Linked DNA regions of Arabidopsis thaliana. The protein of the gene in region 1 interacts with the protein of each later gene in a pairwise test. Each region holds a gene or a part of one and is shown on either strand. Other genes may lie near its edges.

Region 1 (5,065 bases):
TTTGAAAGTGATGGTTAGTGACTTGTTGGTCGATGACGAATTTGTTTTCAGGTTAAATTTTAATAATAATAATATTTGAAAGAAAGATGAAGCTTTCACGTGGCACAATGTATTTGCCTACTGTCAACTTCAAAAACCTGGCAACTGCTATGCAGCTTCAGAGGACACGTGTCATGTGTTACACACGCGCTTCGTTTTTTTTCAACCTTTTGATTTTGTTTTGTTCTGTGATGTGGGACTCACATAATTCAAATCATCATCCTATTGCTTGCCGCCACGTCCCAGAGAATTTTCCGCGAAAAGCTGAGCTTCTCTCTTTCTTTCCTTAATTTTAGTTAGGTTATGAATTATTTTTGTATTAATACTAACTAACTAAAATATCATCATCACATTACATAAACATAAGATTCATCGGCGTAACGTAAGTAACAGTTAAAGCCCAAATTACAACTCTCGATCCTACTTAATGCATAGTAAACGAATGTTGACACAGAAAAAATCTTGGTCAAGACATAAAAGTAGAGAATGTAAACACGTGTCGAACATCGAGGAAGAAAACAGGTCAGAGAGGGGTCAACGTTGTTAAATGTTAGTAATAGAGAAGTGGTCCCCAGTTTCCACCAAAACCCATCTACGTACTTGTATCTCATTGGATGTCATTCCTGATTGATTTAGAATTGAAAACGTTATATTTTGTTTATTTCTAATTGTTGATTGAATATCTTATAATTTTTGCCCACAAAAGAAAATTATAAGTGTATAATATATAGTTCACTCGAATTTAACATGTCCATTGTCCAATGTAGAACGTATGATCATTTCTGTTTTTCAGTTGCTTTTATTTTAAATTCCCAAAAACCCAATATTGTGTCAAACATTGGAGAATGATGTTCACTTTTATTGTATTCACAAAATGCTACTTATCAACTAAGAAAATTGTAATGTCAAACATAAGATGGTGATATTTTAAAAATAGATGTAAAATTAGTTTAGAACTGTCTGATAAGTCATAAGATTGCACGATTATAAATCATTGAATATTCCGGACACTTGTCAAGATTAAAACCATGAATAAGTTTTCAAATTCATTTTCATCATCTCAATTGTAAAACTAGGTAAGATATCCTTTAAAATCTTTGAATATTAGTTCCCCGGCCCATATAAAATCTCTTAAATATATTTATTTGAAAACTCTGACTGTTTGCACTTGCAGCATAAAAAAAGGGATGAAACAAATGGAACAAATGCAGAACAAAACTAATAGACCAGACAAGTAAAACAAACGAAACAAAACAAGTGTTGAAATGATAACTCACAAATTTGAACTTACTTTTCTAGCAAATAAGAAATTGTTCTAATTAAAAAAAAAAGCATATGCAGTCTCAAATTGTTTCTAAGAAGTATTCACGCACCAAGGTTATATTTGTAGTGACATATTCTACAATTATCACATTTTTCTCTTATGTTTCGTAGTCGCAGATGGTCAATTTTTTCTATAATAATTTGTCCTTGAACACACCAAACTTTAGAAACGATGATATATACCGTATTGTCACGCTCACAATGAAACAAACGCGATGAATCGTCATCACCAGCTAAAAGCCTAAAACACCATCTTAGTTTTCACTCAGATAAAAAGATTATTTGTTTCCAACCTTTCTATTGAATTGATTAGCAGTGATGACGTAATTAGTGATAGTTTATAGTAAAACAAATGGAAGTGGTAATAAATTTACACAACAAAATATGGTAAGAATCTATAAAATAAGAGGTTAAGAGATCTCATGTTATATTAAATGATTGAAAGAAAAACAAACTATTGGTTGATTTCCATATGTAATAGTAAGTTGTGATGAAAGTGATGACGTAATTAGTTGTATTTATAGTAAAACAAATTAAAATGGTAAGGTAAATTTCCACAACAAAACTTGGTAAAAATCTTAAAAAAAAAAAAAGAGGTTTAGAGATCGCATGCGTGTCATCAAAGGTTCTTTTTCACTTTAGGTCTGAGTAGTGTTAGACTTTGATTGGTGCACGTAAGTGTTTCGTATCGCGATTTAGGAGAAGTACGTTTTACACGTGGACACAATCAACGGTCAAGATTTCGTCGTCCAGATAGAGGAGCGATACGTCACGCCATTCAACAATCTCCTCTTCTTCATTCCTTCATTTTGATTTTGAGTTTTGATCTGCCCGTTCAAAAGTCTCGGTCATCTGCCCGTAAATATAAAGATGATTATATTTATTTATATCTTCTGGTGAAAGAAGCTAATATAAAGCTTCCATGGCTAATCTTGTTTAAGCTTCTCTTCTTCTTCTCTCTCCTGTGTCTCGTTCACTAGTTTTTTTTCGGGGGAGAGTGATGGAGTGTGTTTGTTGAATAGTTTTGACGATCACATGGCTGAGATTTGTTACGAGAACGAGACTATGATGATTGAAACGACGGCGACGGTGGTGAAGAAGGCAACGACGACAACGAGGAGACGAGAACGGAGCTCGTCTCAAGCAGCGAGAAGAAGGAGAATGGAGATCCGGAGGTTTAAGTTTGTTTCCGGCGAACAAGAACCTGTCTTCGTCGACGGTGACTTACAGAGGCGGAGGAGAAGAGAATCCACCGTCGCAGCCTCCACCTCCACCGTGTTTTACGAAACGGCGAAGGAAGTTGTCGTCCTATGCGAGTCTCTTAGTTCAACGGTTGTGGCATTGCCTGATCCTGAAGCTTATCCTAAATACGGCGTCGCTTCAGTCTGTGGAAGAAGACGTGAAATGGAAGACGCCGTCGCTGTGCATCCGTTTTTTTCCCGTCATCAGACGGAATATTCATCCACCGGATTTCACTATTGCGGCGTTTACGATGGCCATGGCTGTTCCCATGTACGACGTCGTTTTATTATAAAAATTATCCTTTAATTGACCGTTACGACGTCGGTTTTTAATTTTAATAATATGATGTTTAGGTAGCGATGAAATGTAGAGAAAGACTACACGAGCTAGTCCGTGAAGAGTTTGAAGCTGATGCTGACTGGGAAAAGTCAATGGCGCGTAGCTTCACGCGCATGGACATGGAGGTTGTTGCGTTGAACGCCGATGGTGCGGCAAAATGCCGGTGCGAGCTTCAGAGGCCGGACTGCGACGCGGTGGGATCCACTGCGGTTGTGTCTGTCCTTACGCCGGAGAAAATCATCGTGGCGAATTGCGGTGACTCACGTGCCGTTCTCTGTCGTAACGGCAAAGCCATTGCTTTATCCTCCGATCATAAGGTTTTGTTCGTTTTTTGATAATCTCTCTTGTTTCGTTTATCCATCGTTAAATGTTTATCCGTTAGATCTACGGTTATGGTTTACTCACTGTAATGAAACGAGAATTTCGTTACGTGTTGCGTTCGAAACTTACCTATTAATATTGTTTAATGCATTTTTTATTTATTATTTCATTTATTGGAAATTAGAATCTTCTTTAATGTGCATGCAACACCTGGACGACGATTAAGAATGTTTAATGACTTTTTACTTTTTAGATAGAGGATCTGATAAAGTTTATGAGTTTTAAGATTCTTTAATCCTTCGTGTCACTGTTATCAATGACTATATCATTCTCTCTCTCTCTCTTGTTTAAATTTGTTGTAACAGCCAGACCGTCCGGACGAGCTAGACCGGATTCAAGCAGCGGGTGGTCGTGTTATCTACTGGGATGGCCCACGTGTCCTTGGAGTACTTGCAATGTCACGAGCCATTGGTCAGTTAATTGATTACACTTGACGAAAACACTCTTGTCCCTATCCTAATGTTTGTACAAAGTTTTTCCGTACTTTCAATAATGATGATTATTAACTCTCGTTTCGCCGCGGATTTTTTTTTTTTTTTTCAGGAGATAATTACTTGAAGCCGTATGTAATCAGCAGACCGGAGGTAACCGTGACGGACCGGGCCAACGGAGACGATTTTCTTATTCTCGCAAGTGACGGTCTTTGGGACGTTGTTTCAAACGAAACTGCATGTAGCGTCGTTCGAATGTGTTTGAGAGGAAAAGTCAATGGTCAAGTATCATCATCACCGGAAAGGGAAATGACAGGTGTCGGCGCCGGGAATGTGGTGGTTGGAGGAGGAGATTTGCCAGATAAAGCGTGTGAGGAGGCGTCGCTGTTGCTGACGAGGCTTGCGTTGGCTAGACAAAGTTCGGACAACGTAAGTGTTGTGGTGGTTGATCTACGACGAGACACGTAGTTGTATTTGTCTCTCTCGTAATGTTTGTTGTTTTTTGTCCTGAGTCATCGACTTTTGGGCTTTTTCTTTTAACCTTTTTTGCTCTTCGGTGTAAGACAACGAAGGGTTTTTAATTTAGCTTGACTATGGGTTATGTCAGTCACTGTGTTGAATCGCGGTTTAGATCTACAAAGATTTTCACCAGTAGTGAAAATGGTAAAAAGCCGTGAAATGTGAAAGACTTGAGTTCAATTTAATTTTAAATTTAATAGAATCAGTTGATCATAACAAAATCTTACCTTTTTAAATTTATTTTTTGTTATATATAGGACGATGTTTATAGGAATATTAGAAATGTTAGACTGATATCTTTAAGAATAGGAAAAGAACCAAATATTTACTAAGGAATTTGTTTTCAAGTGTATTTTGTAACTAAACAAGGCAAACAATCGGTATAGAATACTTCAAAGGTTAATTGGGAGGATTCAATATTATAACATTTTTTTCTTATTATGTAAAACGTTTTTTTTTTTTTTTTGCCAACATAATCTATAAAACATGTTTATATAACTCTTCATCAAACGGGTATGGTTCACACTTTATCATGTGACATATTAGAAGATGTCGATCATTAAGACTGAACATTGTTTAAAGTACTTAGAAATCAAAATGATGATTCAAGCTTTGATAACTTCCAACCGTTTCCAACCGCCAAACTTTGGTAACTTTTTTAGAATCGAACTCCTAGCTATCGCCTAACGATTTTTTTGAACATTCTCGTTTTTTTTTCTTTTAAATGTCTTTGCAATTGCATAAACTGGTTTTTTTTTTTTTTTTTTTTTTTTGTCGGAAACTGGTTTTCT
Region 2 (4,042 bases), on another chromosome or scaffold:
TGGCCATCTAATACCATCACTATCCTTTTCCCATTAAACAATATAACATCTTTATCCATATCCTTTTAAATATATATATATCAATTTCTCTAACAAATTTTGAACGTTCTTTAAACAGCTGTACAATATTACTATTTCAAACCTTACGGCTTGCAAATGCCATTGCACATAAATGAATATATACACAACTATCGCGTGCGAAATTTCTTTATGCCACATGTGTTTATATAAATAGTATTTTTATATTTTACAAAAGTATACTAGTGCTATAGGCTAGAAATCATCTCAGATAAACATACATTTTTGGTCATGTTCGCTATGATATGGTTACCGTCATCAGCGAAAGATGATGACAAATCTATTGTTCGTTTTAGCTGGTACTAATATTAAACGATGAGCGATAGCGAGCAAAGTCATATTCGCTTTATGGTTCCTAGATTATCGATATATTATGGCGATTAATATAATAAATTATGAATCGCTGATTCGTTGTTAATGATAATACTACATGATGTTGACACAAAAATGTGTCATGAATGATAAGGAAACTTTCACATTTCTATCGTTTATCGTTAGCAATAGCAAGTACAAAACTTATAGATCCAATGCAATATCTGTTTTTCTAATAAATAATTGATCAATACAAAAGTTCCAGCTATAAAAGTTTACAAAAATGTAAATGTCAGGACAAATGACGACGAATATACAATACAAGTCGTAGAACCTAAATCTAACCCTAGAGTTCGAATTCTACGCTATATTAATTAACTAATCTGACACGGACAAAAAATAAAAATATGTTTTTCTTATTACGTTACCATTACACAATCAAATAAACCCGAACCCACTAGATTGTTGACCCGAGTACCCAAATCCGTTAACCGGGTCAACACTAAAACCCTGATTAGCCGAGACGTCCGAGTTATTATTAAACCGAGGAATCCCCTCAGTTTGTTGCTGCGTTCCACCGTCACCGTAACGAATACTCGGAACGTTATGACTCAGTCCGAGTTCCGGGACCGAGTTCTGTCCAATCAAATTCGCCCAATCAAAACTTGGCTCCCTGGCTAAACCCTGAAACCCGGTTTTATGATTGGTTAAAACCGGTCTATGACTATGAGGCAGCGCGTTTGATGAACCGGCGGCAAACCCCAAACTTCTGTTGTCAATCTCATGCAACGACTCGAGAACGTCGTCGTATTGATGAGACGAAGAAGATGTCGACGAACCATTGTTGCTGTATTCACGACCACTCGTCATTAGATTATTGTAAGCTTGTTTTTGTGCGCTTGTTTGCTTTTTGTATATTCGACATAAAACCCAATCATCAAGCTGAACATAAAAACAGTTTAAAATATGTTATTCGTTGAACAGTATAATTACAATTACTATATACTTATCTTTTTGGATACATCATGTATTTAACTAAATTTATACCTTGGTGCTTCCATTTCGACGAGAGGGTTCGATGAGACGGTACTCATGCATAATCCAATTGGTTTTGGTTCCTTTTGGAGCTTTTCCAATGTAAAACACCAAAGCTTTCTTGATACCAACTCTTCTTCCCTCCGTCGAGATAACTTTATCCGTACCGGTGGCTTTCCAATAACCCGACCCGGCAACCCGATTAGGTCTTGACCCGTTTGGATACTTCCTATCCCTCGGGCTGAAAAAATACCATTCTTTTTCACCGAATAACGCCTTACCTACAAAGAACCAAAAAGACAAGTTAGAAGAGAAAAAAACATAACTAGCTACAAAGAAACCAAACACGGTTAAGGTTATTAGGTTATACGTACTTGGTAAAACCCATGGATCAAACTTGTAGAGATCGATTTCAGCTATGAGCTGGAGAGAGAAGTCGTGACCGGCGGCTTTTCTACAGAGATATTCAACCATCAGCTCTTCGTCAGTCGGATAAAACCGAAAACCCGGCGGTAAGCTCAATTGGGCTAACGGGTCAAGCTCTTGGAGACCCATTTTTCCTATCACCTCTTTCTCTAGGACAAAGAAAATATCTGCACTTTTTATAGAAAACAATCACAAAACTATCTTCTTTGATTTTCTTTTTTGTATTCTGAGATTAAAGATTTCGAAGCTCTGCTACTCGTGTATGTATATATATAATATAATATTACACCGCCGCCCAATCTTCGTTAACGTGCAGCCTCAATACGGGTCCCACTTTATGTTTATCATGACACGTGGATCAATTAGAGCGTCGTGATTTATGCGATCCCTTTGGTTCTTTGAACCTATACCATAAAGTTGATTATTTATATTAGTAATGTTGTAATATTGTGTGTGTGACTGTACCTCCTCTTATGATTTTTTTTTTGTATTGTCAATGGTCTTCCCAAGTATTAGGGAGTTAACTGAAAGTAATTTGCGAATATTTGTAAGTTCAGAAAAACAAATTAGGTGATTCTTAAGACTAGTGATTTTTCATGCAATTTACGCGGTAAATTTCTATGAATGAGTTACATAACAGTGACAATCTACGAAAAGTATTATGAAAAATAAGAAGTATTTTTTTTTTAATGGGTATGTGCCAAATTGTTTTTTTTTGGTCGTCAAGAAGAAAAAACACGTGTAAGTGAATGATGGGATGAGTTCACTGGATGGTAACATGGAAAGCGTTTTTCATACGGATAGAACTACCACAAGCCGACACATGTCTTGTGTCTATTGGTTGAGTTAGGCGGGATATTTTTCTTTCGTCAAAAGCCGTTAAAGATCAGAGAGAGGGACAAACAACAAACACGAGTTGATGATGCAGACTCTCGTTATTTTTCTATTTGATCCATATGAGACTGTAATTTTTGATTGAAATCAGATGAAACTGTAATTGTGAAACGATAGTATACAATCAGAGGTACCAAGAAATTAGGCTTTTGTGGTTGAGAAATGGGAACACAAGATTTTCGTAAGTCCGTATAACACAAACACGCTTCTCTTCAAACACTTTTTTGTGTACGTGAAAAAGGAACATTTTACCAATTGAAAATAAAGTTCAATTACAATTTTCTTGCAAGTAGATTTATATTTAACCAATTTATGGCGGTTTATTGATTAACATATTTATTTAAGCATTCGAGAACGTACGTGATTTCAATCATGATTAACATAGTTGAGCTTTGATTCATGGTTCTCGATTTTTTTTTAAAATAGGTAAAACAGGAATCTTAGTTAGAAGTCAGATCGTTTATCAGCAAATTTATCGTAGATATATCATATATGTATGTAAGTTTAGGCTTTTTTTTTTTTTTTCTTATTCATTGAATTTTTTGGCTTTCTACTGATAGTTTTTTCTCGGTAAAAAGTTAATTAGCAAACTAGTAGCCCAAAAAATGAAAAATAAAGTTAATTAGCTAACTTTAATTGATATCTTGTGATCACATGTACATGGTGCTGTAAAAATAATTCTAAGCGAATATAACAAGGAATTTGGGGTTTCTTACACTCAATATCTTTCGTGTCACGGTGCATTTGGTGTTAATTCGTTTCTATTTATAATGGTTCTCTTCCATTAAAGATACATCAATTGGTATAGAACGGGGTGATCAAAGTTTTTTTAAAAGCTTTTGTTCTTCTCCTTTTCGGGATTTTTTTGTTAATGTTGGAAGATAATATCCACACACAGGTCTTTAGTTTTAGATAACTAATTAACATTATGCTATTTTAGCGATGTCATGCATATATCATAACGTGTATGTCATGCATATATCATAATTACATAACGTGTAACCCCGTAAATTTGGGTCAAAATACAAAAGTGTATTAAGAATTGATGACGTGGATATCAAGGTGGTATAAGTTTCAACTTTTGACATGTGAGTTTAGTTAATGGTTTGCTGAATAAACCATATGGCTAAACCAATAAACTTCCAATAATAATATGAATATCACACTTATTACAACTTAACCTCAATCTTCCTATATAAAATCAAAGTGCGCCAATGAAATTCGAACTCGAATGCTTTACATTGTAATGGTATAATTATTTTTCTACCATATATAAAATTTGATAATCTGGAGCACC
Region 3 (3,870 bases), on another chromosome or scaffold:
ATTAATATAGAATGACACATGTCATTTTTTTGTGTGATGATGTATCATTTATATGGAGAGTGTAGGCCAATTTTCATATATATATGATTTTGAATAAAAAGAAAAATTCAAAAGGAGAAAAATAGGCAGCAAAAAGCTGTCAGTTATTACATACAGCTAAGACTTGAGTAATGATTTTGTAGTTGACTATTTCATTTCCCCTGTGGACACGCTCGGCTTACGGTTATGAAATCATGCGTTGGAGTTTTTCTTGCTTTTCCCTTTTCTCATGCGTAGAGTTTTTTTTCTTTCTTTACAATTTGTTTAACCATAGTTTTATAGGTTTGTAGCTATATGAGTGGTTAATTTATGGTCTAGCTAATTGGTCTTTTTCTTATTCAGTTTTTGCATTAAATGTAGATATCAATACTGAAAGTTGACTTTTATCAAAAATACATAACAAAGTATAAGAAAAATAACGCTTAGACAAGTTATTACACATATGCAATGTTCACCAAAGCAAGCAAGTACGAAATATACATGCATATGATAATACATGTAAACGAGATAAATCAGCATCGTAAAGATGAACTGGTAACACGGACACGAGCCATCCACATGGGTGGTACCTCCTTATGCGCGTCTTCCCTCAAAATATTGATCATTATAAAATGATGACACCATAGTCTAACCTTGCAAATTGACGCCGTATTGATTGTAGTGACATTTGTACACGATTACACGAAGCAATAAATTAAGTGATGCAACTCTATAAGATATCGTAAGATGATGAAATGTTTAATAAACTAATTAAATGGATGATATAATACGGAATTGACATTTGAGGAGTTCTCAGCCATTCATTCTAACCCTCTAGACCCTTCTTTTTTAATCTTGTATGATTTATTATCTAAATAAAAGTCTAAACCACTCATTAACATGATATCATCATTACATTGCGAGCCAAAATTATTGCTTAACAATCATGAAGTCTACGTGTGTCACATTCGGAACCTCCGAATAATTATTTTTATACTTTTTCGGTTTGATATACTTCAATATATACTATTAATTTGGATAATCTCATTCTTAATATTCTCTCAGTTCCATTTTATTGAAAATTTTCAGAAGTTTTGTTTTCGCATATATACAAAAGAATTCTAAATCTACTAGCTGGACTAGTGGACCAATTGTTGGACGCCTCTACCAAATAAATCGTAAAAATATGTTGATTTCAATTTTATCAATTTGGCTGGAATCGAAGTGCTCGTGTACATTAGTTTCAACCGCTTAGAAAGACGTCTAGCTAAATGAGTAGACAACCATTTTTTTAACTAATCTTTTAAAATTTATGGAGTTGTGTACGTCCACTCACTTCTATTTGAATAGAAAAAAGATTAATATGGTTATGGAAGAAACGTCCCATAAAGCCGGTGTGAATGTAATATAATGAAATGATTCTCCATCAAACTATGATTGTAAAATTAAAACGCTTCGATTATAGAATAAACTTGTAGAAACATTTTAACTTGTAAAAATTAACCATTCTAAAACAAAACTTGTTAAAACTCAACTTACAAACAATGTTTGATTGAAATTGAATATATATTATTTGGAGTACGTAAACATGGATGATCTTATCTGAAATAGTACATAAAATAACAAAAGAAAAAATTAATTAAACATATAAATTTGAGAAATATGAGGAGGATGGAAAAAAGAAGTCACGCCACGCCTCCTATATAAACAAGAGCCAAGCTAATGAGATAAGTGTATCGGTGAGGCTGAGAGTTATTCACTTACAAAAAAAAAAAAAAACTTGAGTGTAACCAAAAAAAAAAGTTGATATACTTTCTGGTTTTCTCCTTAACTTTTATTCTTTACAAATCCATCCCCCTTAGATCTGTTTATTTCCCGCTACTTTGATTCATTTCTGTTAGTAATCTGTCTTTCGTATAGAAGAAAACTGATTTCTTGGTTTGTATTTTCTTAAAGAGATCAATCTTTTTTTATTTTTGATCTTCTTGTGTTTTTTTTTCTTTGTAGAATTAATCGTTTGTGAGGGTATTTTTTTAATTCCCTCCTCTCAGAAATCTACACAGAGGTTTTTTATTTTATAAACCTCTTTTTCGATTTTCTTGAAAACAAAAAATCCTGTTCTTTACTTTTTTTACAAGAACAAGGGAAAAAAATTTCTTTTTATTAGAAATGACAACTTCTATGGATTTTTACAGTAACAAAACGTTTCAACAATCTGATCCATTCGGTGGTGAATTAATGGAAGCGCTTTTACCTTTTATCAAAAGCCCTTCCAACGATTCATCCGCGTTTGCGTTCTCTCTACCCGCTCCAATTTCATACGGGTCGGATCTCCACTCATTTTCTCACCATCTTAGTCCTAAACCGGTCTCAATGAAACAAACCGGTACTTCCGCGGCTAAACCGACGAAGCTATACAGAGGAGTGAGACAACGTCACTGGGGAAAATGGGTGGCTGAGATTCGTTTACCGAGGAATCGAACTCGACTTTGGCTCGGAACATTCGACACGGCGGAGGAAGCTGCTTTAGCTTATGACAAGGCGGCGTATAAGCTCCGAGGAGATTTTGCGCGGCTTAATTTCCCTGATCTCCGTCATAACGACGAGTATCAACCTCTTCAATCATCAGTCGACGCTAAGCTTGAAGCTATTTGTCAAAACTTAGCTGAGACGACGCAGAAACAGGTGAGATCAACGAAGAAGTCTTCTTCTCGGAAACGTTCATCAACCGTCGCAGTGAAACTACCGGAGGAGGACTACTCTAGCGCCGGATCTTCGCCGCTGTTAACGGAGAGTTATGGATCTGGTGGATCTTCTTCGCCGTTGTCGGAGCTGACGTTTGGTGATACGGAGGAGGAGATTCAGCCGCCGTGGAACGAGAACGCGTTGGAGAAGTATCCGTCGTACGAGATCGATTGGGATTCGATTCTTCAGTGTTCGAGTCTTGTAAATTAGATGTTGCCATAGGGGTATTTTAGGGACTTTAGAGCTCTCTGCGATGGAGTTTTTGGTCATTGCAGAGATTTTATTATTATTAAGGGGGTTTGTTATGTTAATATCAAATAAGTTTATCTACTTTGATGTTAATTAGTGTTAATCTCTGCGTCGGTCCAAGCTGTTTTTTTTTGGCATGCTTCGACCGTGTGAGATTTCTTATGTAATTTTTGTAGTTCCTTGATTTTCTTAGTTCAAGTTAAATTGGCACAAAAGAACAACGATCAAAGTAGAAGAAACTAAATTCCTTAACTATAAAAACTTGATTGGTATGAAACTGCAAAAACTCCTTCTAAATCTACAAAACATGTAACTCACTTCTCGTAATAACTAAATTCTGGAAGTGTTGCTTAGACTGTAAATGAGGAAGCATCCTGAATCAACTTTAGTGTATTTCAATCCATGGCTTTAAGCTAATCTAAGAAACCACTTTCTCTGATTATCAACAAACGTAGACACTTAAAAAAACAAGGCTTTAGTTTAATAACATAAAGCAAGATCGGTATCTTCAGATTTAGACTACACTTTAAACAAATGAGCTCAAATTAAATAGGAAAAATTAACATTCGTTTCAATCGGTGATAACAACATTTTACACTTTGTATGTTGCCTATGAAGAGATAGTGAATAGTGAAAGGCAAAGTTCAGATCCTGGAATATCTTACAGTACTACAAAATTCTTTAAATCATCGCATTGTCACAAATTCAAACCTAATGTCTAACTGTAAAACCCGTAGAGATGATTCTCCAGTAGCTGATCAAGAAAGTGTGGAGAATATCAAACAACTCAGTTGAATTTACCAATCTCCATTTTCTTCTTAATTGCTCGTTGTCCATGGTATATGAACGAATCTACTA
Region 4 (6,094 bases), about 19 Mb from region 1:
CACAATCTTATCATTTAATTTTGTTTGATTCTAATATCAGGTTTGATATTCTATACATGGCCAAGGAATTTGTGATTCACAAGTTTACCATCTTTTCAAAATCATGTAATGATTTATGCTACGAACTAAATGATATATTTAAATAGACTTTATTTATGTTAATTATATAATATGATAAATATAGCTAATTCTTATTGATACTAATTATATTGTTGAGGTTCTATCATTAATTTACGTGGTGAAACTGCAATTTGATTTGCGGAAATGATCTTATATCATTAGAAGGAACAACTAGGACACTGCTCTTTTACATATGTGCGAGTTTTACCAATAAGATATTGACTAACTACGAGACGAACATTAGTATTTGCTAATGTGTTTCGCTGATTTTCTAGGTTTTAGTCGTGACGTGAAATTCAGTAAGAAGCACAACGAAATGCCATCGGCTCATGTGTGTGAAAAAATTAAAAATTTATGGGCTGAACAATTCTAATTGCATGATGATTCGGGTTTAATTTAGGCCTCTGGAAAATCCAGGGCTTATTTCCATGCAAAATCTTAGGTCAGTATTGGGCCCGCCTTTCAAAAGCCCAATTTTAATTATTCGTTTTTGTTGTCCGATAAAAAATCCAGAAGAAGTCATCTCTCCCCTTAAAAACGGTAGTCAAAACTAAAAGACTCAAAGTGATTTCCAGTAAGTTTTGTAGAAAATAAAATAATTGTGGCCATTGGAGATTTAGCAAGGCTCATGGAAAAGTGATTGTTCTTTTTTCCCCATGATTCTAGTTATAAGGCCATCCTTGATGCATACATCAACACCATGACTGGTCCAAAATAGCATAGGTCTAAAGATGATGAAGCAAATGATAATCAGTTTATTCCGATAGAAGCAAATGAGGATGTCATCAATTGTGGATGTTATACCTGATTAGTTAAGCAAACCATTAGCACTATGTTTAGTTAGAAAAGAAGGAAATTATGATAGCCATAAAAATGCCAACATTTTCCCTTTTAAATTGCATTCGTGGTTTTTGAAATTTTATTATTTAATTAATTTGTTTTCTTTCAGTTGTCATTTGAATGGTTATCATAATTCGGTCTTATATTATTGATTTTTATTATTCGTTAGGTTTTTTTCAGTTGTCTGATGGAAAATTCAGAAGCCACCACTTACAAATCAAAAGTATAAAAAAAGACTCAAAAGAAGACTCCAAAATCCAAATAGTTTTTCTCCATTTTTTTTTTCTTTTTCCAGAAATTATAGTTATAGAAATAAATAGTTGTGGCCGTTGGAGATTTGCATTGGCCACGAGTCATGGAAAAGTGAATGTTCTTTTTCCATGATTCTTCTAGTCGGTCATGCTTGGTGCATGTATGAACACATATTTAAAGTTCTATACAAGTTGTTAGAATTCTTTTAAATTTAATTTGCTTTATTTATTTTTTTAGTTTTAGTTTTGGAAAATCATGGTCACACATCTTGAGCTACCGTTGTTATTTATATATAAATGTTCTTAATATTAAAAAATTATGAACCACAGGGCTAATAAACTTGAATATTTGTAGGGTCAATGGCTTTATTAATGTGTATATTTGTAGAAGAAAGCTGGGAAATATTCTATAAGTAAATTATCATCTTATACACTAATTTTTTAAAAATCCACGCCTAGTAATAAATTCCAATTTTTTTTAACTCAGTAATAAATTCCATTTTTTATTAAAAGTTTATTTCATAGAAGTACTTTTTTTTTTATGTGATAAAAGAAAAACTGAAGAAGGCCAATGAAAAATGAAGATCCCAAAGACATAAAAAGTGACAAAAGAGAAGAATAAAGAAAGACCAACAACACCACTTGGGGGAGGCTCCCATACACAAAACGAAGGCGCGAATTTCAAGGACTCTTCTCGACGACCAAACCACATAAAACACTCTTACCAGAATTTGTGTTGTCTTCGTTCATTTCCTTCTCCTCTTCTTCTTCTTCTTCGTCGTAATTTTGATTGTTTCTTTGCGAAAAGTCGTTTTTTTAATCAAGTCTGAATCACGTTTTATTGATCTACACTCGCGTGGGTTCTCCGTTTCGTGCTTAGATCAGAGAGCTCCCTCCCGTGATTCCGTAAGATTTCTGCGTTTCTCATTACTTGGTTTCATTTCAACGTAGATTCTGAATTTTGTGTGATCTAGTCTACACATTTTTTTTTAATTCTTTCCTCTGCTCCTAAATTCCAGAATTCAGACAACGGTTGCGATATTTCTTATGTCTTTTTTTCTATCGTTGTTCATTTCAGAAGTTTCGATATAAAAAAGGTTATTGTTGGATTTTGAGTAACACATTGTCCTCAATTCTCATCGTTCTTCAATCAAATTTTGGATTTTGAGCATCATGGATGATGGATCTATGCATTTTGATTTTATATTGTACAGAAAGAATGTTTCTTGTTTTGTTTTGATGATGTTTTCTTATGACAACAATCTTCATGTTTTTGTAGGAGCTTTAAGGTCGGAAATGGCGGCTCATGTTTCTACTGGAAACATTCATAATTTCTATCTTGCGGGGCAGGTTTACAGGGGACAAGCTTTTTCATGGAGTTCTGCTTCTACTTTCATGGCAAATCCATTCAAAGAGCCCTCTTGGTATCACTTCTTTTAATCTTTAATCCCAAATTTTGTCCCTTTTGTGTAGCAATTGGCATTTTGAGGTTCATGTTTCTCATTTATGATTTTGCTCTTTGTTCTCATGTAGAACTTTAACTAGTTAGACCTATAGTTTCTCATGCTGGACTCAAACTTTTATAATCTCTGTGTGCATATAGGTCAAGTGGGGTATTTAAGGCTCTAAAAGCTGAGAGATGTGGTTGTTACTCTCGTGGTATTTCCCCCATCAGTGAGACCTCAAAACCTATCAGGGCTGTTTCGGTATCTTCTTCAACAAAGTATTATGATTTCACTGTGATTGGTAGTGGAGTAGCGGGTCTGCGTTATGCTTTAGAAGTTGCAAAGCAAGGAACAGTCGCAGTGATTACCAAAGATGAGCCTCATGAGAGTAACACAAACTATGCTCAAGGTGGTGTTAGTGCTGTGTTATGCCCTTTGGATTCTGTTGAAAGTCATATGCGGGACACTATGGTCGCTGGTGCTCATCTTTGTGATGAAGAAACCGTAAGAGTAAGTTCCCTTTGTTGCTGATCATTACCTCAAAACTGTTTGATAAGTGCTTGTGTTAGTCTCGTGCATAAGCATTTTGTAATGGTCTAAACCTGTCTCACTTTTCTGTATCTGAATGTTCTTTTTCAGGTTGTGTGTACTGAAGGGCCTGAAAGGATTCGTGAACTGATTGCAATGGGAGCATCATTTGATCACGGCGAGGATGGAAATTTGCATTTGGCCAGAGAGGGTGGTCACTCGCATTGTAGGATCGTTCACGCTGCTGATATGACAGGAAGAGAGATTGAGAGAGCTTTACTTGAAGCTGTACTTAATGATCCCAACATATCTGTCTTCAAACACCATTTTGCAATCGATCTGCTCACTTCTCAGGTTCCACTTCACACCCTTGAAAAACACATGTGCATATATGATCAATTGGCTTATCAGATCATATCTTTTTGTATCTTAACAGGATGGCTTGAACACAGTTTGTCATGGTGTGGACACTTTGAATATCAAAACTAATGAGGTACACAAAGATCTTGTTTCTGGTGGTTTGATCATTCACCTTATATCTTAGATTGTAATGTAAAAAAAACTCATGTTTCTTCAGGTAGTACGCTTTATATCGAAGGTGACATTGCTTGCTTCAGGTGGAGCTGGGCATATCTATCCATCAACCACAAATCCTCTGGTAACATTTTCTATAGACTCTCTTTTTAACAAAGCTCTATGGAAGTTTCATTTTACCAATTTTATCAGAAGAAAGAATGTGCAGGATCAACACAACAGTTTTGTGTGTTTATGGGAAATATCCAAAAATGAAACTTTGATTAAGTAATGTGATTTATCCCTTGAATACAAAAGAAAATGTCGAAATTATCACGGGTATACACAAACATACTGCATTAGAGTTTTAGATTTAATAGTTCAAACAGTTGCAGAAACAAAGAGATTTTAGTCATAGAGTACATTTTTTTGCTAAATTCGGTTGTGCTAGTCGCAATGATATTTCTCTAAAAGTGATATATTATGCTCCATTTTAATTATCGACATGGTTTTTGTATAGGTGGCTACTGGAGATGGGATGGCGATGGCTCATCGAGCTCAAGCTGTGATCTCAAATATGGAGTAAGTGAACACCGAAAAACCGACTGAAGAAACTTGTTGACAATAAACTTATGTTTTGTATTTGTTTTTGGTTAGATTTGTGCAGTTTCATCCTACTGCCCTAGCCGACGAAGGTCTTCCCATCAAACTACAAACTGCTAGGGAAAACGCGTTCCTCATCACCGAGGCGGTGAGAGGTGATGGTGGCATCCTCTATAATCTAGGAATGGAGCGATTCATGCCTGTTTACGATGAACGAGCTGAGCTTGCTCCAAGAGACGTGGTTGCAAGAAGTATTGATGACCAGCTTAAGAAACGAAACGAAAAGTATGTGTTACTTGACATAAGCCATAAGCCAAGAGAAAAGATTCTTGCCCATTTCCCGAACATAGCTTCTGAATGTCTTAAACACGGTCTGGATATCACCCGTCAGCCTATTCCGGTTGTCCCTGCAGCCCATTACATGTGTGGAGGAGTTCGTGCTGGTTTACAAGGCGAAACCAATGTCCTTGGATTGTTTGTAGCAGGTGAAGTAGCATGTACAGGCCTCCACGGGGCAAATCGTCTTGCTAGTAACTCGCTTTTAGAAGCTCTGGTTTTCGCGAGACGGGCTGTTCAGCCTTCGACTGAGCTCATGAAACGCACAAGACTTGATGTATGCGCATCAGAGAAATGGACAAGGCCTGTTGTTGCGACAGCTAGATTGCTAGGAGATGAAGTAATAGCAAAGATTATAGCTTTGACTAAAGAAGTGAGAAGAGAGCTTCAGGAGGTAATGTGGAAGTATGTTGGTATTGTCAGATCGACAATTCGGCTCACCACTGCTGAGAGGAAAATCGCAGAGCTAGAAGCAAAATGGGAAACATTTTTGTTTGAACATGGATGGGAACAAACAGTGGTAGCTCTTGAAGCTTGTGAGATGAGAAACTTGTTCTGTTGCGCTAAGCTTGTGGTGAGCAGCGCGTTAGCTAGACATGAAAGCAGAGGTCTTCATTACATGACAGACTTTCCTTTTGTGGAAGAAAGCAAGCGGATTCCGACGATTATTCTACCGTCTTCTCCTACAACAGCTAGTTGGAGCTCAAGGCGGTTACAGAATATAAGTAGCAGCTCACTTATTGATTGCTAAAACTGCAGGAGTTTTTGTTCTTATTTGAATCCAAACCTCTCTGATTATTGTATCAATTTGAAAAAATTTGGATCTCAAAAGGAATCTCTGATTCTGACACTCTGTAATACAAAAGGAAATAAATTATTCATTTGAGATATCAATCATATTGGTAATTCATATTTCAATTCCTTTGTTATGGTTTATTGATGACTTTCTGAATGAAAGAAACAACTGTGAGTGTGGATTTCCCAAGCAAGAAGCAGGATTGAGAACAGTCTTGTGTTCACTGACTCCATATCCTCGGTTCCTTTTTTTTCTGAGTAAATCATTCCAAAAGCTTCTATCCTTCTCCTGAGGAAATCACGAGCTCCAAGCTCGGGTATGGCTTCCATGACCAGACCAAACATGAATTCATTCTTCCTGTCTTCTTCAACTAGACCAGGGTGTGATCTGAGAAGGCTGCACAAAGGCACATCCATTAATAATCAGAGATCTCTTCTGCAATGTCGCTTTAGAACAGCCTAGTTACTAGTTACATCCAGAAACCAGCTAGATCATAAGTCTTGCCTGCTCTGCAGCTGCCATCGCCGTTCTGCTACAATGAAATTCAAAGGGTATTTTCAGGAGATAGTTTTGGCTCGTGCAATTTGATTTAACAAAGAATAAAGATATCCTGAATTACAATGTGAAGAAGTACTATGGTGCACCATAATCTTACCAGCACT

What was found.
Region 2: the proteins of HAI1 (region 1) and NAC3 interact in a two-hybrid assay, tested with the Arabidopsis thaliana proteins (one large-scale study listed by BioGRID).
Region 3: the proteins of HAI1 (region 1) and AT1G22190 interact in a two-hybrid assay, tested with the Arabidopsis thaliana proteins (one large-scale study listed by BioGRID).
Region 4: the proteins of HAI1 (region 1) and AO interact in a two-hybrid assay, tested with the Arabidopsis thaliana proteins (one large-scale study listed by BioGRID).

The regions. Positions count from the first base shown.
Region 1 is NC_003076.8:23,893,830-23,898,894, reverse strand, and holds HAI1 (PP2C protein (Clade A protein phosphatases type 2C)), read left to right. Parts: upstream 1-1,955; 5' UTR 1,956-2,397; coding exon 2,398-2,874; intron 2,875-2,957; coding exon 2,958-3,260; intron 3,261-3,629; coding exon 3,630-3,735; coding exon of another isoform or gene 3,736-3,758; exon of another isoform or gene 3,759-3,867; coding exon 3,868-4,223; 3' UTR 4,224-4,491; downstream 4,492-5,065. UniProt on the Arabidopsis thaliana protein: Acts as a negative regulator of abscisic acid (ABA) signaling for stomatal closure in leaves, and controls water loss during leaf senescence. Activated by the NAC029/NAP transcription factor during ABA signaling in senescing leaves.
Region 2 is NC_003074.8:5,232,669-5,236,710, reverse strand, and holds NAC3 (NAC domain containing protein 3), read right to left. Parts: upstream 2,255-4,042; 5' UTR 1,981-2,254; coding exon 1,800-1,980; intron 1,707-1,799; coding exon 1,438-1,706; intron 1,333-1,437; coding exon 829-1,332; 3' UTR 515-828; downstream 1-514. UniProt on the Arabidopsis thaliana protein: Transcription factors that bind specifically to the 5'-CATGTG-3' motif.
Region 3 is NC_003070.9:7,834,058-7,837,927, forward strand, and holds AT1G22190 (Integrase-type DNA-binding superfamily protein), read left to right. Parts: upstream 1-1,723; 5' UTR 1,724-2,187; coding exon 2,188-2,973; 3' UTR 2,974-3,354; downstream 3,355-3,870. Other genes in the region: AT1G22200 (Endoplasmic reticulum vesicle transporter protein), read right to left, coding at 3,800-3,870.
Region 4 is NC_003076.8:4,766,626-4,772,719, forward strand, and holds AO (L-aspartate oxidase), read left to right. Parts: upstream 1-1,637; 5' UTR 1,638-2,117; intron 2,118-2,490; 5' UTR 2,491-2,507; coding exon 2,508-2,635; intron 2,636-2,814; coding exon 2,815-3,166; intron 3,167-3,295; coding exon 3,296-3,538; intron 3,539-3,620; coding exon 3,621-3,677; intron 3,678-3,761; coding exon 3,762-3,842; intron 3,843-4,217; coding exon 4,218-4,279; intron 4,280-4,354; coding exon 4,355-5,387; 3' UTR 5,388-5,528; downstream 5,529-6,094. UniProt on the Arabidopsis thaliana protein: Catalyzes the oxidation of L-aspartate to iminoaspartate. Can complement nadB-deficient E.coli mutant. Plays a role in stomatal immunity.